Caenorhabditis elegans: one gene and its partners. The protein of the gene in region 1 purifies or fractionates together with the protein of each later gene. This does not show direct contact. Each region holds a gene or a part of one and is shown in the gene's direction. Other genes may lie near its edges.

Region 1 (3,977 bases):
GAAACTATTCACATCAGAATTTTATTTCAAATTATAATCTCAACACAGAAAATCTAATTTGAAAATATTTACAGGTCCACATTTGGTGCACATTCAAAAACTCAGTTAGAATTGTTATAGCCATCATAACATTTTCAATTATTCTGAACTTCCCTAAATTCTTTGAATACCAAATTGGCTATTCGGATGCATTGGGATACTGGCCAAAACGTGGAATTTTGGATGCAGAAGAGCACTGGTGGTACTACATTTCATATTTTATCATCATTTCTGTCATTTTTGACTACCTTCTGCCATTTGTTATAATGTTCATTGCAAACATGAAAGTCATCAATGAACTGAGAAAATCAAGGAAGGAGAGAGCACTTTTGACGACTTCGGTAAATATTTTACACGTTTGTATTCTATTATTATTATATTTCCAGCTTCAAAAAGAGCAAAATACAACTGTGATGTTGTTGGTTGTGACTATTCTCTTTGGATTCTGTCACTTTTTCAGTATGGCTCTCAAATTGTTCGAGAGCATTTTTAAAGATTTTCTCAATCGACACGTACGTTTTTAAAAGATTTAAATAAAATAATCTGAACATGTCATTTCAGAATGAATATTTCGAAGTGATGATTGAAGTATCTAATATTCTCATCGTCATTCATATTGGCACGACATTCTTCATATATTACTTTTTCTCGGCTAGATTCAGGAATATTTTGTGCTATTTGTTCAAGTAAATTTTAAAATCAAAATCTTATTCTTTCAATTAAATATTATTTTAGAAAACGAAGCAACCTTCCGGATAATAGCCTCACAGACTTGAACAAACGGAAGCTTCTTCAAAAATCCGATTCAATATGTACTTCACTGGCAAAAACATCACCAAAAACATCAATGGCATAATAATCTGAAAATAGGATATATAGTAGTCTCCCAATCTCTTGATCTTTTGTTTCTGATATTTCTTTTTTACTTCCTTGGATCTTTTTGTTCCTGCTTGCCATCCTCTTCGGCGTCATAATAATCATTCCGAAAGTTGTTTTCCTATATCTTACGAACGGTTCAATGAAATAAAATGTTGTGAATTTTATTTATGATATGCTAAAAATTAGACGATATATATGGAAACAAACTGTCTGGTTAAGGAAAAGTATGAATATATAATTTTAGCTTTTGAGATAGTGATCTCGGTACAAAAATCAAAAGTTAAAGGTCTAAAGTTCAAACAATCATGCAACTTTCCAAATATACTAACAGAAGCCACATTCTTGGAAACCTCCAGAAAGTGCGAAGCATCCTGCACGTTTTTAATGCATAGTTTAAGGAAAATATTGAAAATGAAGAAGTAAAAACCAAAAGATGGAAAAATTATTTATGAGAATAAAAGAAGGTAATCATGGGAAATTTAGAATCTCAAAAGTTTGTTCCTCGAATGCTTTTGATTACTTCGGAGCAAATGAAAAGAAAAGATGCAATAAATGAAACCAAAAAAATAGGACTTGTGATCTTTAGGAACTAGAATTAAAAAAATAACCAAATGTTAAATATAGATTGGTTTTGATTTGTTCAAAATATCGTAACATGCAATTGTGAATTTTAAAGTTCATCTACTATTTTGAGATAGATGAAATAAAAATTTTAACGGAAAACGATATTTACCGGGAATTATACAAACTGTACTAAATTAACGTGATGAGATTTGCGTTTTTAGGAGGAAGCGGTGGGTGATAAAAATATAATATGCTATGAAAAAAACGTTTATTGTACAGAAATAAATGAAATTTCATTTTTGAATGGGTGAACAGTTGTTTTCATTTTCTTGTAAATTACAAAATAAAATTTTTCTATCATTTGATTCCGCATTTTGTAGTACGCGAATCTTGTAGCTTGTGTATTTTGTGTACGCTATCAGTAAATGATCGAACCTGTGTGTTCAACAGTTGGTCGATATCAGAACTAATATATAAATTGGCTAGACAGAAAAAAAAGGACTCACACTTTCAACTTATTCAGCTAGTTTCGAGATGAAAACTTTATTTGAAATTATTGATAATCCTGATTCATCTAGCCCATTGTGGAAACAATGGAAAAATTTAGTGGACACCGAAGGATGGACATCAGATGACAATTCGGTCACCGAAATGGTTCCATCTCTTCCGACCACGCGAAGTGTTTTTGCAGTTACTAAAACGCGTAAGTTTTCTCTGTTTGATATTAGTTTTAGAAGCACGTGATTTATTATTGCAACAAAAAGATAAGTACTAGTTAACTAGTTTGAAAAAGGACCGATATGTTATCAATTAATACTTTGATTTATTAGAGACATGCAATATGATTTTAGACTAAAATCTTTAACTTTTTATTGTGTTTGTTTTAAACTATTTATTTACAGTTAATTTTGTAAAATGAATAAACTTTGGTGATTTTGGCGGAGAATTTTGTAAAATTGAGAAATTTTTACAGCAGAGCGGAGCATGGTTGGAAGTGTTGTTTGGAACGAGTATGATGATATTTGTTGGTTAGGCTTTTACCTTTTGGCTCCAGAGTATCGTGGAAAGGGCATCGGGTCGATGATCTGGGCTCAAGCAATGTCTCGTATTAGGAAAGACTTGGTTCTTGGCTTAAGAGGAGGTTTCTTTGTATTTTGATTCAACTTTAAAAATAAAATACCGATTTCAGTCGTCAAAATGGCTCCAAAATACAAATCCCGAGATACTCCTGTGGATGGAGCGTTGCTTGAAAATTACCGTTTAACTTCAAATGACTTTTATTCTGCTATGAAAAATTTTCAAGATTTGGGGCTTGTAAGTTGAGAATCGTCGTACTTACAAAAAATGCATATTATATAACAGATTCAAAAACGCGTGAGAGACTTATCTGAAACAGATTGGGAGAAGTTTTTGAAGTACGATAAAAGTGTGAATAGTAGAGATCGTCGAGAGTATTTGGAGATTTATTACAAGAAACTTGATTACACTATTGGAATTGCATTTTTCAATGAATCTGGAGACATAGATGGTGTTATTTCTGCGGTTCCTACTGGTCATCAAGGTACTAGTTTTTTGAATTATTGAGGAATTCAGTTAATGACTTTCAGAAGATAACAATTTCAAAATTTGCCACCTTTACGCAAATTCATCAAACATAGCATTTTACACAATGAAAGTCCTTTCCGAAGTTATGCTCAAAACATATCCTGAAGCTACTCTCATTTTCCATCTTGTTGATACTCCTGAAGGATCCTTCACAGTTCTTCATAAATTTTTCAAAAGCCTCAATTTGAATGCAGGTGTCAGTGGATTAACACTATACAGTGATGTGTATCAGCCCAAAGGAGATCTTGAGAAAGTTTACATTCCATTTAATAGCTCCTGTCATTTTGATTACTGATATTTAGAATATTTCAAATTTGATGATAATCAACTTTTTTTTTCCTTTAAGTTGACATTTATATTCAATAAAATAGCTTTCCAATTTATTACAAACAAGCTGATCTACATGGAGATCTTAATTACAGTCAGAAAAATGAATGTACAAAGTTCCCAGAAACACGAACTAAAAAAGCAAGTATTGTTCTTTTGGCATTGAAGGAGTTGCTGGAGCATTGAGTGGTGTGACAAGTGTAGAAATAAGCTTCGAAAGAGATGATGATTTCTCAACTTGTTGCATATCAAGTACAAGACGATCAGCAACTCGAGAATCTTCCTCACTGAGAACAGTAAGGCCCATCGAATCGAGAAGTTGGTTTACTTCTTCGAGAGTTTTTTTGGAAACCTTCGAATTGGTGAACATCTGAAAGAAAGATCTATGAATCAACGTTTTTGTTTCTTCTGATACCTTTGCAGTCTTTGTCTCATGAATGGGGCTGTACATTTTGACAGACACGTGATTCGAGTGAATTGGAGATTTTTCACCGTTGAGGGAGATGATTGTGGCATTTGGAACAGCTTTAGCGGTATTAATGAAGAGAGAAGATTCATCGGCA
Region 2 (5,765 bases), on another chromosome or scaffold:
ACTTACTATTAGATACGCATTGTATGTAACGCAAAAACAAGAATGACAGGGTGGGATACAAATAAAAAATCATGGTATGCTTCTCACAAACTAGAAGTTGGAATTGAAAATACTACAATTTGATTGAATTATTAGTGCTGAAGCATTGACACGACGGTCGATCAGGAAGCCGGATTCCTTGTATTTGATGCTATCGGTAATCTGCTTCATACGAGCTGCCTCTGGTCCAGAAACTTCGGGAATTGCATCCGCAATGCTGCAAAAATATTTTAATATCAACTGTTGTCATTTTCTTAAACTCACATGGCTTCATTCCACAAATTACGACCACTCTTCGCGTACTCATTTGCAACATACATTGGTGTTGGAAAAAAAAGAAGTTGGAAGTCTGACAATTTGGTGAAGGTGGCACAATGGAAGTGAAATACACGTTCGAGCAATTCGTCATTTTCCGAGATTAAAAAAAAAAGGATTTGAAGAGGTAGATTTTCCTTGAATAAAAAAATCGTTATTGTCGATAACAGGAGAACTGACAAGTTTCAGTTCAAGGGAATTGATTCTAAAATAGAAAAAAAATGTTAAATTTAATCTCGTGCAGAAACTACTTACAAATTTCGAAGCTTCTTGTTCTCGCGTTCAGTATCTTGAAGCTTCTTTCGATTATTTTCCTCAAAATTGGCTAGCTTCGACAGTTGGCATGTGATTTCCTGTGTCCTTTTCTCTGTTTTCGCCGTTTGATCTTTTAGCATCACCGACTGAAATAAAACTTTTTCTTCTGCATGAAACAAGTGCAAAAAATTACCTTTTATTTTTCGTTTTCCTAATAAATTGAATTCTGAATACTTTAAAAACCAATAATTCTGGTGAGACGTTTGAGAATATCTGTACTTTTTACAGTCACGTCGCGAATCGGGATGTACAGCGCTGAACATTTTCCGCACATTTTCGGCAGATTTCCATCTATTTTAAGAGTTTTCGTAGGGACCTTACACAAATAACAAAATCCAGCAGTCTGCGTTGTTCGACAAGATGTGAGAGCAGGTGGTGATGTAAAATTGCCTTCTTGCTGGCGGGAATCCACATAGGTTGCAAACGATTAACTTCATTGCGATCTAAGCTACAAGCCTGAATTAGATGAGTATCATTCAAAATAAAATTAACAACTAAGTCACTTTTTAAAACATGGAAAGCACACAATACTTGTAAAAAGGAGAAAAATAAGGCTGTACAGCAAAAATAAATTCAAGGAGCGTTCGTTTTAACACTGAGTGGGTCTCGCAGCGATCTCCATTCTTATGTACTGTATGCGTTGTCATTTAAATTTTTTAGGACGAAGAAATTGTTTTTTGTATTCTTTTCCGGTTTGTGACAGTTTTCAATAATTTTTGTTAATTTTCAAGATTATTTTTATATTTTAATAATAATCTAGTTACAAAATCTTAAGAAACTTGCTCGTTGAATCTTAAAAATGTAAAAGTGATCTACATTTGATCTAGCCGCCAATTATCGGATTCTGTATTCTTGCGTCATTAATAATGATGATTTTGTACAAATCTAGTCGTTATTTGTTTTTATGCCGCCTCTGAAACACCGAAAAATCTCGAATCATTATTCTTTTTCGTCGGCAATACGAAAATTCCGTAGTTTGCCCTTTCTTCATAACGTACCATTTTCGTTCTAGATTGATCTCTTGAAGAAAACTGATTTATTTGTTTAAACTATTGTTAAATATCTCACAAATTCATAATTTTCTATAGATGTTCTCCAATCTCGCTTATTCGGTGCAGAATATTATTTATATAAGCTTTTTTCAGAACTAATATTGCAATAGTAATAAGATGTCTCCTCATCCACCACAACCGCATCCACCGATGCCTCCAATGCCACCAGTCACTGCTCCACCAGGAGCTATGACTCCAATGCCTCCAGTTCCAGCCGATGCTCAAAAGCTTCACCAAAGCACTGGCAACGACGCATGCATCAAGCGTTTACAACAGTTAAACGTATGTTTATCAGCATTCAAAGATCTTTCTAATGCCATATTTGCAGGTTGAGGATGGTGCGAAAATGTACATGAAGCCAACCGAACCTGGAAAAATGGGCAGACCAGTGGACATCCAAACCAATGTCTTCGGAATTGAAGTCACAAAGGAAACCACAGTTCATCGTTTTATGGTTCACGCAAAGGCCGATTTGACTTCAACAAAGGAAGTGACTTTCACTAAAAAAGGAAAGGAGGACTTCGTCGTTCAGGATCGTCGCGATAAGTGTTGCAACATCTTTTTCCTTGCGGTTGAGAAGAACCCGGAATTCTTCAAAATGAAGGATGGGAATCAGATTGTATATGACGGTCAATCAACTCTCTACACGACGGTCAACTTGTTCTCAGAACTGGATGCCAACGGTACGAAGTCCAAAGTCTTCCAAATCAACGGAGCTGATACCGGCAATGACGACCTTAAGACCCTGCCTTGCATTTCTCTCGAGATTTATGCCCCAAGGGACAACTCTATCACGCTCTCTTCTGAAAATCTGGGCAAGCGTACTGCGGATCAAAACATTGAAGTAAACAATCGAGAATACACTCAATTCTTGGAACTTGCTCTGAATCAACATTGCGTGAGAGAAACGTAAGTGAATTTCGAAAATTATTAAAAGCATCGCTTCATTTTAGAAATCGTTTCGGATGCTTCGAGCACGGAAAAGTATATTTCCTCAACGCCACCGAAGAAGGATTCGATCAACGAGACTGTGTCGACGTAGGAGACGGAAAACAACTTTATCCTGGCCTCAAGAAGACGATTCAATTCATCGAGGGTCCTTATGGTCGCGGACAGAACAATCCATCTCTCGTGATTGATGGTATGAAAGCTGCTTTCCACAAAGAGCAAACTGTGATCCAAAAACTGTTCGACATCACGGGACAAGATCCTTCAAATGGACTCAATAATATGACCCGTGAGAAGGCTGCGGCAGTGATTAAAGGACTTGATTGCTATTCGACTTATACCAACAGAAAGCGCCATCTAAGAATCGAAGGTATCTTTCACGAAAGTGCCACAAAGACCAGATTTGAGTTGCCCGATGGAAAAACTTGTTCAATCGCCGAGTACTATGCGGACAAATACAAGATCAGTCTACAGTATCCGAACGCCAATTTGGTGGTTTGTAAGGATCGAGGCAACAACAATTACTTCCCGGCTGAACTGATGACTGTGTCCAGAAATCAACGTGTCACCATTCCTCAGCAAACGGGAAATCAATCTCAAAAGACAACGAAGGAGTGCGCGGTTCTTCCGGATGTCCGTCAGCGAATGATCATCACTGGTAAAAATGCTGTCAACATTACACTCGAAAACGAGTTGCTCGTCGCTCTTGGAATCAAGGTTTACTCGGAGCCTCTGATGGTTAGTTTGTGTAAATTGTAAAAAAATATATTTGTTTTCTTTTTCCAGGTCCAAGCACGTGAGCTTGATGGAAAAGAACTTGTATACCAGAGATCGGTAATGTCGGATATGGGAAAATGGCGTGCGCCTCCAGGATGGTTTGTGAAGCCTGCGACTGTTCCTGATTTGTGGGCTGCTTACGCTGTTGGAAATCCAGGTTGCAGATTCTCCATTGGAGATGTCAAGTAAGACAAATAGAAATTTACATGAATCAATTCAATTCTTAAGCCAACTCGTCGGAATGTTCATTGATTCTTGCAAGAAGAAAGGCATGGTGATCAAGCCACCATGTGAAACAGGACTTTACAGTACGGAAAAAATTATGACTCAGCTGGAAAAAGTGGCTGCGAGTAAGTGCAAGTATGTCTTGATGATCACTGATGACGCAATCGTTCACCTCCACAGTAAGTTTTCCTTAAGTTTTCATGGTTCATTGAAAATTTCAGAGCAGTACAAAGCCTTGGAACAGAGAACAATGATGATCGTCCAGGATATGAAAATTTCCAAAGCCAATGCCGTTGTCAAAGATGGGAAGAGATTGACGTTGGAGAACATCATCAACAAAACTAACGTGAAGTTAGGTGGTCTTAACTACACTGTTTCGGATGCAAAGAAGAGCATGACCGACGAACAATTGATCATCGGAGTTGGCGTTTCCGCACCACCGGCTGGAACGAAGTACATGATGGATAACAAGGGACATCTTAATCCACAAATCATTGGCTTCGCTTCAAATGCTGTTGCAAATCACGAGTTTGTCGGCGATTTCGTTTTGGCTCCCTCCGGACAGGACGTAAATAATTAATGTGTTCGAGTTAACAACATGGTAATTTTTACAGACAATGGCATCAATTGAAGACGTGTTGCAAAATTCAATCGATTTGTTCGAAAAGAACCGCAAAGCGTTGCCAAAAAGAATCATCATTTATAGAAGTGGTGCATCGGAGGGTTCTCACGCTTCTATTCTGGCTTATGAAATCCCATTAGCCCGAGCTATTATCCATGGTTACTCGAAAGAAATCAAATTGATTTTCATCGTCGTCACTAAGGAGCACAGTTACCGATTCTTCCGTGATCAGGTAAATTTGTTTTATTATTCTCTTTACGCTAACTTTTCAGCTTCGTTCGGGCGGCAAAGCCACTGAAATGAATATTCCTCCGGGCATTGTCTTGGATAACGCTGTCACGAATCCGGCATGTAAGCAGTTCTTCCTGAACGGTCACACGACTCTTCAAGGAACAGCAAAGACACCATTGTACACTGTTCTTGCTGACGACTGCAAAGCTCCAATGGACCGCCTGGAGGAGCTGACCTTCACTTTGTGTCATCATCACCAAATTGTTTCCCTGAGCACGTCGATTCCCACTCCACTTTATGTGGCAAATGAGTATGCAAAGCGTGGAAGAGATCTCTGGGGTGAACTAACGTAGGTTTTTTTTGTTTAAAACAAAAATTTATTTATATTTTGCAGGACTAAAGGACCAATTGAAGCAAAGGAGTCGCAAGGCGAGCGCCTCAAGGAACTTACAAAGGAAATCGGCTACAAACAAACCGATCTCAATCAGAAGCGCGTCAATGCATAGATTTGGAGCTATGCCACATACACTTGATGTTTTACCTAGGATAATAATTTTACGGTCACCTAGGATAATAATTTTACGGTTTTTCCGCTAGTTTTATTGTAATTTTTTAGTCAAATGTTTTATATTTTTGTAATGTGGTTCTGTGTGACCCGTAGTAATTAAACTCGGTATGATAAAAGTTTTAGGCTGATAATATTTTTCAAAGATTTGCTTTGTGCGTAAAAGTTCGAGGCGATGTTTTTTGAGGATCTTCAAGTGAAAACGAAGATTGTCTGATAATGAGGGGGAATTTTGTTCGATTTTTTTTTGAAATTGGAACATTAAACATTTCTAGAGCTGCTTCCAAGTCAATTGACTAGTCGACTAAATATTACTTTTTGGTTGTAATCTCAATATTGAACAAACAATTTATTCACGTTTTTAACTCAAAATGGTAATTCGAAAGTTAATCAGAACAAGAAAAGTAATAAATAAAAAAGCAATTTCATTCAAGCCTTTCAACTATCCTTGGTTGAATTTTCTGTTCCCTTTTCTCGTGAGTTGAAAAAACGAATGGTGAATTCGCAAGAAGGGGAATAAATTTCCCAGATCCGGGAACTGTTTGAAGTTTTCCGTGAGCCCATACAATTCGCCCTCTGTAATAGATTGTGGTTAATGTTGTGCCATTGAGAGAATATGTCTGAATACAAGAATCAAACATTTTTAGATTATTTTTTTTTTTTTGCATTGGCCGCC
Region 3 (4,810 bases), on another chromosome or scaffold:
TTTGTACGCCAAATTCGGAGATCAGATCAATTTGGACGCTGAAGAATAATCTATAAATTCTAATTTCTTATTTTGCTCGATTTTGTATCTTTTCCGTTGAAGCTTTCATATATAAAAATTATCTCAATTTAAAAATTGCTTTTCTCACCTTTTTCACAACGTGTGCTCACTGTTCACTGTTTCCGCGTATTTTGCTGATGAATTTTTTCGACCGATTTTCCTTATCACGAATGGCACCACCCACTTGTGGGTCACACCAGATCCTAAATATCAATATAGTGGACGGGAAGAGGAAGGTTTTTTCGTGTTTGGTGTTCATTTTAGTTTACATGTTTTGTTTCCCATTGCTCTTTATTTATAGAGGAGACGCTCGCCCACGTAATATAATAGCATTTTGGAAAAATCCATTATCTTTCAGACAATCTTATCATGATTTCCACAATAGACTGGCTAGAATGTAGCATTCTAAATATTTGAATTTAACAGAAAATATTCAATTTCTCTTTAAAAAAATACTTGAAAATTAATTATATTCCCAAATTGGCAACATTCTTTCCCGATTGTCTTTCTGTCCATTTAATTTGTCTGCCCTTTCTTTTCTCACCTTTTTTATCCGTTTCTTTCTTTGTCACCTCCGAAGTTTTGTCAGCATTTTCCGTTTTTTTCTCCTCATATTTTGTTTGCACTTTTCACCTTCTAAAAAAATGATCGGCAGAGACACAAATAAATGTGGCCATTCGTGTGCTCCGTTTTCCAAATGAAACCCGATTGGCAGAATTTATGGTTGAAAATGCATAGTTATTTAGGAGTTGCAAAGAACAGTTTTCATTCTTCTTTTTCTTTGTCTTCTTGTTAATTTGGTAAACTGATCAGACGTTAATCAAATTGATAAACTTTCAAGTTCAGTGATTTTTGATTTGTTTTCTGAAAACGAAATTAGTTTTTTCTCTGATAGACTAAGTCTTCGAAGAATTCATCTTCCAGATAAAATCCAAAAAAAATGTGTTCCAGAATATCCTAGTCGGTCAACTAAAAGTCAAGAACCATAGATTAAATCTAGAGTTACAAAGTTTCGTCTCTTCTCCAGAGTCAAGTTACTCGAGTTTTTATGTTTCCTAGAGAAATACATTGTTTCTTTTCATTGTCGATCAATGTCGCCCAGAGAACATTATTTGTCATGGTTACCACTCGCACACACTACACAATTTCATTCAGTCATCATTTTTTGTGACCCGAGAAGATTTCAGTAAATATTTTCATGTTTGTAAAGAGACTGGCGCATCCACTTTTCTCTTACTGTTTCTTTCTTCTCTCGCTGCCCTGTGAAAAAAATGGAAGTGGAGTAAAAAGTGACCGATTTATAGTGTTGTTCCAGTTGTTCCAATTCATTTATATTGTAGACTGCGGTTCGCTACTAGGTATATGATTCGAAAGGAAAAATTACATTTTTTAGTGCTAGAAATTAACATTATTCCATTAAATGTAACTAGCTGAAAGTAAGCAGTTTATTACTCTGCCAGTAAAAAAGAATTGCGCAGAATCATTATGAAGTACATCAATATATCAATTAACGTATTTCTTTTTGATTTTTCGTTGTATAAATGAAACAATAATCTCACTTTTAAATAACATTTATGTGTATCTAGATGGTTTACTTTGAAACTTGTAGTTTCTACTATTTACCTCTCAACACGAGTAATTTTTGTGAATCAATGTTCGTCATTCTCACTTCAAAATCTAGTTTATAAATTTACAGAAATGGCATGCAAACGTCATTCAGTGTCCGATCCCATTTCGAAGGATCTCGTCGAGTGTCTTCGTGAATCAATGCAAAGAGATCTCAAATTTGAGACTCCGTACGTTTTCGTGATATTTGGAGCATCGGTATGACATCTATTCCATATATATCGATTATTAATTATTTAACATTTTTTCAGGGAGATCTCGCAAAAAAGAAAATATACCCAACACTGTGGTGGTTGTTCCGTGACAACCTTTTGCCAGTCAACATCAAATTTATTGGATATGCCCGTTCCGATCTGACAGTTTTCAAGCTTCGTGAATCTTTTGAGAAAAACTGTAAAGTTCGAGAAAATGAGAAATGTGCTTTTGATGACTTCATCAAGAAGTGCTCATACGTTCAGGTAAATCTACATCTGCTAATAAATAGGCGTGAAACTTTGTTCCAAAAATACAGTGCTCGGTCTCGACACCACAAATTTGTGTTAAATGCGAAAACGTATCACCTTTAAACAGTACTGTAGCTTCAAGCTTTTGTCGATTTCAGATTTTAAAAAAATTGTTTTAAAACTGAAAAAAAATAATTGCAACACATACATTTTTTTTACAAATCAGGTAGGAAAACTACGAAAACCAACAAAAACTTGAAACTACAGTACTCTTTAAAGGCGCGCACTTTTTTGCATTCAACAAAAATTGTGGGGTCGAGACCGGTTACCGTATTTTTCGCACAAAATCTTGTTACTGGGTAATAAAAATTTGAATCGAAGCTTTTTTCTAGAAACTTTGAACATAAAAAGCACCATTGACATTTTTTCAGGGCCAATACGACACTTCTGAAGGATTCCAACGCCTTCAATCTTCAATTGATGATTTCCAAAAAGAAAGCAATAATCGTAGGTTTAGAATTAAATTTCACTCAATCTAAGCAAATTTATAGAAGCCGTCAATCGTCTCTACTACCTCGCTCTTCCTCCATCAGTTTTCAACGTGGTTTCTACGGAATTAAAGAAGAATTGTATGGATCATGGTGATTCATGGACACGTGTTATCATAGAAAAACCATTTGGACATGATTTGAAATCATCTTGTGAACTTTCAACTCATTTGGCGAAACTTTTTAAAGAAGATCAAATCTACCGTATTGATCATTATCTCGGAAAAGAAATGGTTCAGAATTTGATGGTTATGCGGTAAGAATGTTTTTTCAAAGTATTTGAAGAGATTTATAATTTTATTTTGAACTTTCAGATTTGGAAACCGAATTCTCGCTCCATCTTGGAACCGCGATCACATTGCATCAGTTATGATCTCATTTAAAGAAGATTTTGGAACTGGTGGCCGTGCTGGATATTTTGATACAGCTGGAATTATCCGTGATGTTATGCAGAATCATTTGATGCAAATTCTAACTTTAGTCGCCATGGAGAAACCAGCAAGTTTGAATGCTGAAGATATTCGTGATGAAAAGGTCAAAGTGTTGAAAGCTGCTAAAGTTGTAGAATTAAAGGATGTAGTAGTTGGACAATACATTGCCAGTCCTGAATTTGATCGTGAGTTTTTCAAAAATTACAATTTTATAAAAGTTTTGATTTTTAAATACATTAATTTTAGACCCAGAAGCATCACAAGGATACAAAGATGACAAATCAGTTCCAGCCGATTCGACTACTCCAACGTATGCTCTTGCTGTTGTTCACATCAATAATGAACGTTGGGAGGGTGTTCCATTCTTCTTGCGTTGTGGAAAAGGTAGGGAATATACAAAAAAAAACCGAATTTTTAAATTTCAATATTATTGCAGCTCTCAACGAGAAGAAAGCAGAAGTTCGTATACAATTCAAAGAAGTCAGTGGAGATATCTATCCGTCTGGTGAATTAAAGCGATCCGAATTAGTGATGAGAGTGCAACCAAATGAGGCAGTTTACATGAAACTGATGACCAAGAAACCTGGAATGGGATTCGGTGTTGAAGAAACTGAACTTGATTTGACTTATAATAATAGGTTAGTTTTTGAAATTTCTCTTCAAAAAAAATTTCATTGTGATAATTTCAGATTCAAAGAAGTCCGTCTTCCTGATGCTTATGAACGCCTATTTCTCGAAGTATTCATGGGATCTCAAATTAATTTCGTTCGAACTGATGAGCTTGAATACGCTTGGCGTATTTTGACGCCAGTTCTCGAAGAGCTTAAAAAGAAGAAAGTTCAACCGGTTCAATATAAATTTGGAAGGTTGGTTGTGTTTCTTTTTTTTTAAAATTAAATACAGTAATCCAATTTTTCAGTCGTGGTCCAACTGAAGGTGACGAATTGATGAAAAAGTACGGTTTCATCTTCACTGGAACATACAAATGGGTTGCTCCAAAGCTATAAATGATACCAGATCTTCCTCTATTCATTCTCTTTCAAATGTTTGTAGAAATAACTTCAAAAATTCAGCAGCTACTAGTTCATATGTTTTCCTGTGTTCCACATCAATATTATTCCTGCTCTTTTTTCATTTGTTAATGTTCTATTGAATGAATGAAAATAAATACGTTTTCAGTTAAAAGAAGTGTAGAACGATAAGATAAGCCAGTAAAAAGGCTTATTTTAAATAATCTGTATTCAAAAAATAATCATTTTTTCGACAAGCCGGTTACGGTGCGCCAGTCCGCAAACACTCTGCATACACTCTACTTCTACAGTAGTGGACGTGCGACGCGTGTTGCGTCGCGCATCATCATATTGTTCAATTCTTGTTCAAGTTCAATCATATTTTCTTCGGATTTCTATCATTTTCCATCGGATTTCCCATCATTTTTGCACAAATGTTTTAAAGTATCAATATCTTTGATTTAAAAAAAAACGTCTTTCTTGTTTTACGTCTTTTTCTTGCTAGCTGCACATCGTATTACTCATTCTTTTTTTCAGCCATGGTTGCTGCTTCCGCTACCCGGAACATGCTCCAATCATATGGAAAACGTGGAATTTACGTTTCACTTGCTGTCGCTGTCGTCTCGACTGCCGCATTCAACGCATTTTACGTTTGGCCACGTCACAACAAATATGAAGAGTTTTTCGCGTCA
Region 4 (6,144 bases), on another chromosome or scaffold:
AACCGTTTCTATAATGATTGCTGGTCTATGCAAGTTTTCTGATCATTCTAGTTTGGAAAGAGCTAGAGAATTGTACAAGGAGCATCGAGCTGCAAAAGGAAAAGTTTACCGAGAAGCGTTCAATGGATTAATTGGCGCTTCAAGCTACAGTGTCGGGAAGAAATTGGTAGCTGAAATGATTTCCCTCAGAATGACACCCGATATTTTCACGTTCAATGCATTACTGTCGTCTGCTGCAAAAGCTGGAAAGTTTGAAGATCGTGTGAAGGCGTTCACTGAAATTATTGGAGAAATGAAAGAGATTGGAGTTGAACCAGCACTGTCATCTTTTCATTTAATTATCAAAAACATCATAGATTTTAAATTATTGGATAATGAAAAACGAGAGAGTGACGAGCAAAAGAAGACCTATAATCACCAGCTCACCGTGGCTATATCTTGGCTCAATGAAATTCAGAATAGCCTTACTGGAAAAACTCTCAAGCCGATTACATCCACTTGTAATCTTTTCTTCGTCGAAGCAATGGGAATCCATTACAGAGCTGCAAATGAGAACCTCGCAGAAAATCTTGTTTCAATTTATGAATCCAAAGCAAACGAAGTAAAGATGCCAGCATTCACAATTGAATCAATGTTCTATAATAGACAATTACAATTGGCTGTGGAACAAAGTGCTTCACTGAACAGAATTTATGATTTGTACACCACCATGGTACCACGACTTGTTGGAGTCAACAATTATCTGTCATCACTAGTTTTTCGAAAACTCGCTGCATCCTCCGATCGTCATTGGCCACTGTTACGGAGAGTAATCATCGACGGTATTGCAGCTGGACAGATGAATGGAGTTATTGGAGAAGAAATGCGCAAACAGTTGTGTAATGTACAACTACATGTAAGTTTTATTTCCAAATATCTTGTGTTTTTTACAAGTTTTTTTCAGACATTGGGAACTAGTGAACGGGAGCAATTCACATCTCTTGTCCAAAAATTGGTTGCAGTTTGGGTTGAGTTCAGCCAATTCACAGAAGAGAGAATGAGAAGGCTCCAAAGGAAACTGTCGCCTAGCCAGGTTTTAATATTATTTTTCAAACCATAAGTCGTATATTTCTCAAATTTTGCAGATCTCAGAATGTGCTTTGCTCTTGACCAGAATCGGAGAACAGCAGAAAGCTTACGAACTGTTAGATCTACTGCTTGATGAAACTGCAAGCAGTGGGGACGAAGCGACTGTTTATCCACGTGGACATGCTAGGCCATGGGCAATGGCAGAATTGTTCGAAGATGCTCTTAGAAAACGTGATACATATGCTGCAGCGACTTGCCTGCAAATTATGTCGTTGACCGCCAACCGTGCAAAACTTGAGCCTCTCGCCAATCGCATTTTCGAGAAATGTAATGTGAATCAAGAGCAAGTTCGAATTATTCAAGGATTCATTCGTCTTCGCCCACAATAATTTTATTTCGTTTAGCCTAGGATAGTTGTAAAGTTATTTTGTTTTTGTTTTGTTTTGCTTTCAAAATGTCTCCCATAATAAAACTTATTTAAAAATTTGTTCAACATGTTTTTTTTTCAAAGGTCGTTCAATTTGAAATTAAAGGCGCATCGAGTTTTCATCTGAGTGGGTCTCGCAACGCTGTCTAAGGTATACGGTAGCTATTCGCACTACTTCAAAAAATGTTACCTACTGTCCCAAAATATTCATTTCCGTGCACGATTTTTCAGTATTTCTTGTTGAAATCTTCATATTTTTCAAGTATCTAACAAAAACGTGTTTCAATAGTTCTTTTTTCAAGTTATAAGTTATAAGATTTAGAGAATGCATGTATCCCGAAAAGTTGCATAAACTTATTCAATTTTTTTCCAACACGTTATTCGTAAATTTTAAGATATTGTTCATAATGCAATCGTTCTCCGATTTCAGGTAGTATTCACTAACAACATTCACAATGCCTGCTACACCGGTTCCACCGGTAACAATGCCACCAGTGCCACCAGTTGGTTTTCCACCGGTCACCGCTCCGCCAGGACTTCATCCACCACCACCAGTCCCACCGGTTCCGGTTCCGACTCTTCCTGTCACCTCGGAACACAAAACTGCTCACGATGCGTGTATTAAGCGACTCGAACAGCTTGAGGTGAGATCGGTTCTCGTTATTGCTTAGAATAAATATGATATTTTAGATTCCGCCGGATCCGAAGATCTATCCTTCTCCAACCGAACCTGGAACTTTCGGTAGCGTGACTGAAGTCCTGACAAATGTGTTTGGAGTCGAAGTACATAAAACTTCCAACTTTTATCAATACAGTGTGCACATCACTGCTGAACTTTCATCGAAGAAAGAAGTAACTTTCACTAAAAAAGGAAAAGAAGAGTAAGATATTGATGATCGAATTCAAATTTCCTATGCATTCAATTTCAGCTTCATTGTTCATGACCGCCATGAGAAGTGCAGTGCTATTCTGTTCCACGCATTGAACCGCTTTGAGGACTTTTTCAAGTCGTCTGAGAACTGCATCATCTACGATGGACAGAGCATTCTCTTCACCAGCATGAATCTTTTTGAAGGAATTCCAACTGGAAAAATTAAGGTATCGAGATTTTATTTGTACTTTCGATGCATTCCTAATTTCAGACAAAAGTGTTTCAAATTAACGGTGCGGACACCAACTTGAAAGACCTAATGGTGCTGCCGTGTATCAAACTGGAAGTTTTTCCTACCAAGAACCCAGTCGTGAATTTCTCCCTGGAAGATATTGGAAGACGTACATCGGATTCTAACATCGAGTCTGTCAATATGGCTTATAAGCAGATTCTCGATCTCGCTATGAGTCAGTACGCAATTCGCGAAACCTCCAAATGTGTAGTGTTCGAGCACGGAAAGATGTTTTTCATTAATCCATTGCAAGAAGGGTACGCTCCATGCGACATTGTGGAAGTTGGAGATGGGAAACAAATGAAACCGGGTCTCAAGAAAACCCTCCAATTCATTGAGGGTCCATACGGACGTAACCAGAATAACCCATCGATTGTCATTGACGGTTAGTTTTTAGCTCAAAATAGACAAGTATATTTCAATCTTCAGGAATGAAGGTGGCATTCCATATGGAGCAACTCGTTTTCCAAAAATTGTCATCGATCACATCCAATCTGGCTAACGGAATCACTGGATCCGAAAGAGAACGATGTGCAGCTGTCATCAAAGGACTTGACTGTCATTCAAACTATAGAGGACGCACACGTCATCACAAAATTGAAAGCATTCATCACGAAGGAGCCGCAACTGCCAGATTCGAGCTCGAAGGTGGTGGTACTTGTACCGTTGCCACCTACTTCAAGGATAAATATAAGATTCAACTTCGCTATCCGAACGCCAATCTCATCGTTTGTAAGGAAAGAGGAGCTCTCAACTTCTATCCCATGGAGTTGATTACTATCAGTCCAAATCAACGTGTTAGAATCACTCAGCAAACAAGTTCTCAAAGTCAACGAACCACAAAAGAAAGTGCAGTGTTGCCAGACATTCGCCAACGTTTGATCATGACGGGAAAGATTGCAGCGAAGATCACAGCTGAAAACGAGGTGCTCGGTAAAATGGGAGTGACTGTTTGCGATGAGCCTCTTGTGGTGAAAGGGCGAAACCTCCCGGCCATTAGGTTGGCTTCATTTGAAACGGGTGAACATCTCATCAATCCAAGAGATTGCAAATGGCGCCCACAACGCTACAACCGTTCAGCTGTGGCTCCGAAAGTATGGGCGTTGTACGGCGTGGGGTCGCCGGGATCACAAATGAATCGCGACGTTATGAGGTTAGTCTTACTCTACTTAAAATTGATTGGTTTTTTCTGATTTTTCAGACGTTTTTGTGACGAGTTCATGAATATGAGTCGTTCGAAAGGAATTCTGTTTCCGCCACCTGGAGACGTCAATCTTCTCACCCCTGATGCTATCGAAAATCGTTTGCGTGAGGCTGCGAATGCTGGATGCACTTTTGTTCTGTGCATCACTGAAGACAATATCACTTGCTTGCATCGTATGTCATAATTGGCTCTTCTCAATAAGTTTTGTTTGTTACAGAAAAATACAAGTTCATCGAGCATCATACTCAGATGATTGTTCAGGATATGAAGTTGTCCAAGGCTTTGAGCGTCGTCAACGCATCAAAGAAACTAACATTGGAGAACGTTATTAACAAGACCAACGTGAAACTAGGAGGGTCCAACTACGTTTACCTCGATACGAAGAAGTATATTATTACGCGTTCAATTGTTTATCCATGTACAAAATTTCAGCTTCCTTCAAGAGCATCTGATCATCGGCGTTGGTATCTCCAGCCCACCACCTGGGACCAAGTACATCATGGAAAGCAGAGGAATTCTCAATCCGACTATTGTGGGTTTCGCATACAATGGAAATGGGAAGCAGGAGTTTAGTGGAGATTTCGTATTGAACGCTGCTGGTCAAGAAGTGCGTTTTTCAGTCATACTATTTTATTCATGTTGAGCTTTCAGACCATTGCACCAATTGAGGATATCGTCTCCTATTCAATCAAAGGATATAAGAAGTTCCACGATGGCAAAGCGCCAAAGCGCATCACAATCTACCGAAGTGGCTCCAGCGAAGGAAATCACGGACCAATCATCTCCTATGAAGTTCCTCTTGCTCGTGTTGCCATGAGAAACTTTTCGCCGGACACTCAATTGCTTTATATCGTGGTCTCGAAGGAGCACACCTATAGATTCTTCAAGAAAGAGGTGAGTGGGCAAGAAGTCTTGACGTTTAATGTTGATTATTATTTCAGTCTGGTGGATCTTCCAGCGGTGGATCTAACAGCGCTGGCGCAAGCAATTCTGGCACATTGACTTCGGCACCGCCAAAACCATGGGAGCTCAATATTGGTCCAGGACTTACCGTTGATTATGGTGTTACCAACCCAGCATGCAAGCAGTTCTTCTTGAACTCGCACATGACTCTTCAGGGATCGGCAAAGACCCCGCTCTATACTGTTCTTGCTGATGATCGTAATATTGGTATGTCGGCATTGGAAGAATTCACCTTCAATCTGTGTCACCTCCATCAAATTGTCGGACTTCCCACGTCGATTCCAACGCCACTGTATGTTGCAAATGAATACGCGAAGAGAGGGCGTAATTTGTGGAATGAAGCCATGTGAGTTTTCAGATTTTTTCGATTCAAGCATTTATGACTATGCCTTTTCAGCAATGCTAATGAAATTCCCGAGGTTACTGGACCAGAATCAGCTCGTTTGAAGAAAATGACCGATGGCATCAGCTATATGGGCTCCGGCGACATGATCGACCGCCGTGTCAATGCTTAAGCACTCACCCGAAGATCAAGTTGTACCATTTTTTAATCCAACTCATCTTTTGTATCAATTTTTTTATTTGTATCCCACTATGTCTTTAATGCTATATCTTATCTAAGTGGTACATAATTGTTCAATAATTGTTTTATTCCCCCCGCCCTCTGTTCCCCATTGTTCTGGCTCATCCTACGTGCAGCTTGTCAATCTTCGGCAATGATTACAAGTCGTTCATAGGTTATAGCCATTGTTGTTTTGTTAAGTTGAGCATGTAATGCTTTTGTTATGGTCTCCCGGAGACAATAAAATTTTAAAATCCAAACTGCATCTAACAATTGGAATCATTTATTCACTGGAAAACTTCATTCACTTTTCGCTTTCGATGATCCGACCATCTCGGACTGACACTCAGACGAATCGACTTCTTTAGCTTGGGTTTTTTGTTTCTCCTTGCTCAATAAGACCTTTATTTGGATAAAGATGTCACCATCAGCAGCGAATTCGGTTACTTTTGCCAACGGAAGAAAGTTCTGAAGTACACAGCCTCCTCACGTGGAAATGACCCAACAAGGGGGCTTGCGCGTTTCTCGTGAGCGTTGGAAAATTTTACCACTGAAAAATGATTTCCTTCGGTTTTTGTGGGTTTAAAATCGATTTCATATTTTGAAATTAGGTATCAATTGTAAAGCTAATTGGGGGAAAGGAGGAGAAAAAAAGATTTTTGATTTTGGTTCAAAAATAAAAGCGCTGATATAAAAAGTAAAAACAACTAAAAATTGAGTTTTTCTCATATTTTGTATATTTATCATCATTTTTCTA

What was found.
Region 2: the proteins of F21C10.9 (region 1) and wago-1 fractionate together in Caenorhabditis elegans (co-fractionation; one large-scale study listed by BioGRID). This does not show direct contact.
Region 3: the proteins of F21C10.9 (region 1) and gspd-1 fractionate together in Caenorhabditis elegans (co-fractionation; one large-scale study listed by BioGRID). This does not show direct contact.
Region 4: the proteins of F21C10.9 (region 1) and ppw-2 fractionate together in Caenorhabditis elegans (co-fractionation; one large-scale study listed by BioGRID). This does not show direct contact.

The regions. Positions count from the first base shown.
Region 1 is NC_003283.11:9,096,699-9,100,675, reverse strand, and holds F21C10.9 (N-acetyltransferase domain-containing protein), read left to right. Parts: upstream 1-1,979; 5' UTR 1,980-2,016; coding exon 2,017-2,185; intron 2,186-2,455; coding exon 2,456-2,623; intron 2,624-2,671; coding exon 2,672-2,796; intron 2,797-2,844; coding exon 2,845-3,043; intron 3,044-3,089; coding exon 3,090-3,382; 3' UTR 3,383-3,475; downstream 3,476-3,977. Other genes in the region: frpr-6 (G-protein coupled receptors family 1 profile domain-containing protein), read left to right, coding at 75-380, 426-551, 601-725, 775-895; F21C10.10 (3-hydroxyacyl-CoA dehydrogenase NAD binding domain-containing protein), read right to left, coding at 3,548-3,784, 3,830-3,977.
Region 2 is NC_003279.8:7,233,570-7,239,334, forward strand, and holds wago-1 (Argonaute protein wago-1), read left to right. Parts: upstream 1-1,814; 5' UTR 1,815-1,838; coding exon 1,839-2,003; intron 2,004-2,049; coding exon 2,050-2,630; intron 2,631-2,674; coding exon 2,675-3,407; intron 3,408-3,455; coding exon 3,456-3,631; intron 3,632-3,674; coding exon 3,675-3,850; intron 3,851-3,892; coding exon 3,893-4,239; intron 4,240-4,285; coding exon 4,286-4,525; intron 4,526-4,565; coding exon 4,566-4,873; intron 4,874-4,918; coding exon 4,919-5,030; 3' UTR 5,031-5,223; downstream 5,224-5,765. Other genes in the region: R06C7.2 (BEN domain-containing protein), read right to left, coding at 91-256, 304-491, 535-559, 610-932; dhp-1 (Dihydropyrimidinase 1), read right to left, coding at 5,515-5,665. UniProt on the Caenorhabditis elegans protein: Argonaute protein which is involved in the endogenous small interfering RNA (endo-siRNA) pathway. Interacts with secondary 22G-RNAs, which are RNA-dependent RNA polymerase-derived endo-siRNAs, typically 22 nucleotides in length with a 5'guanosine residue.
Region 3 is NC_003282.8:11,315,663-11,320,472, forward strand, and holds gspd-1 (Glucose-6-phosphate 1-dehydrogenase), read left to right. Parts: upstream 1-1,756; 5' UTR 1,757-1,758; coding exon 1,759-1,884; intron 1,885-1,937; coding exon 1,938-2,144; intron 2,145-2,560; coding exon 2,561-2,636; intron 2,637-2,680; coding exon 2,681-2,933; intron 2,934-2,991; coding exon 2,992-3,293; intron 3,294-3,354; coding exon 3,355-3,492; intron 3,493-3,544; coding exon 3,545-3,746; intron 3,747-3,797; coding exon 3,798-3,974; intron 3,975-4,027; coding exon 4,028-4,115; 3' UTR 4,116-4,289; downstream 4,290-4,810. Other genes in the region: pfd-4 (putative prefoldin subunit 4), read left to right, coding at 1-49; B0035.18 (Mitochondrial cytochrome c oxidase subunit VIc/VIIs domain-containing protein), read left to right, coding at 4,658-4,806. UniProt on the Caenorhabditis elegans protein: Cytosolic glucose-6-phosphate dehydrogenase that catalyzes the first and rate-limiting step of the oxidative branch within the pentose phosphate pathway/shunt, an alternative route to glycolysis for the dissimilation of carbohydrates and a major source of reducing power and metabolic intermediates for fatty acid and nucleic acid biosynthetic processes.
Region 4 is NC_003279.8:5,158,011-5,164,154, reverse strand, and holds ppw-2 (Piwi domain-containing protein), read left to right. Parts: upstream 1-1,922; 5' UTR 1,923-1,950; coding exon 1,951-2,139; intron 2,140-2,185; coding exon 2,186-2,376; intron 2,377-2,424; coding exon 2,425-2,593; intron 2,594-2,637; coding exon 2,638-3,043; intron 3,044-3,087; coding exon 3,088-3,811; intron 3,812-3,859; coding exon 3,860-4,035; intron 4,036-4,079; coding exon 4,080-4,248; intron 4,249-4,294; coding exon 4,295-4,469; intron 4,470-4,513; coding exon 4,514-4,756; intron 4,757-4,803; coding exon 4,804-5,171; intron 5,172-5,222; coding exon 5,223-5,340; 3' UTR 5,341-5,644; downstream 5,645-6,144. Other genes in the region: let-630 (Small ribosomal subunit protein mS39), read left to right, coding at 1-895, 944-1,072, 1,125-1,457; trf-2 (MATH domain-containing protein), read right to left, coding at 5,688-5,855.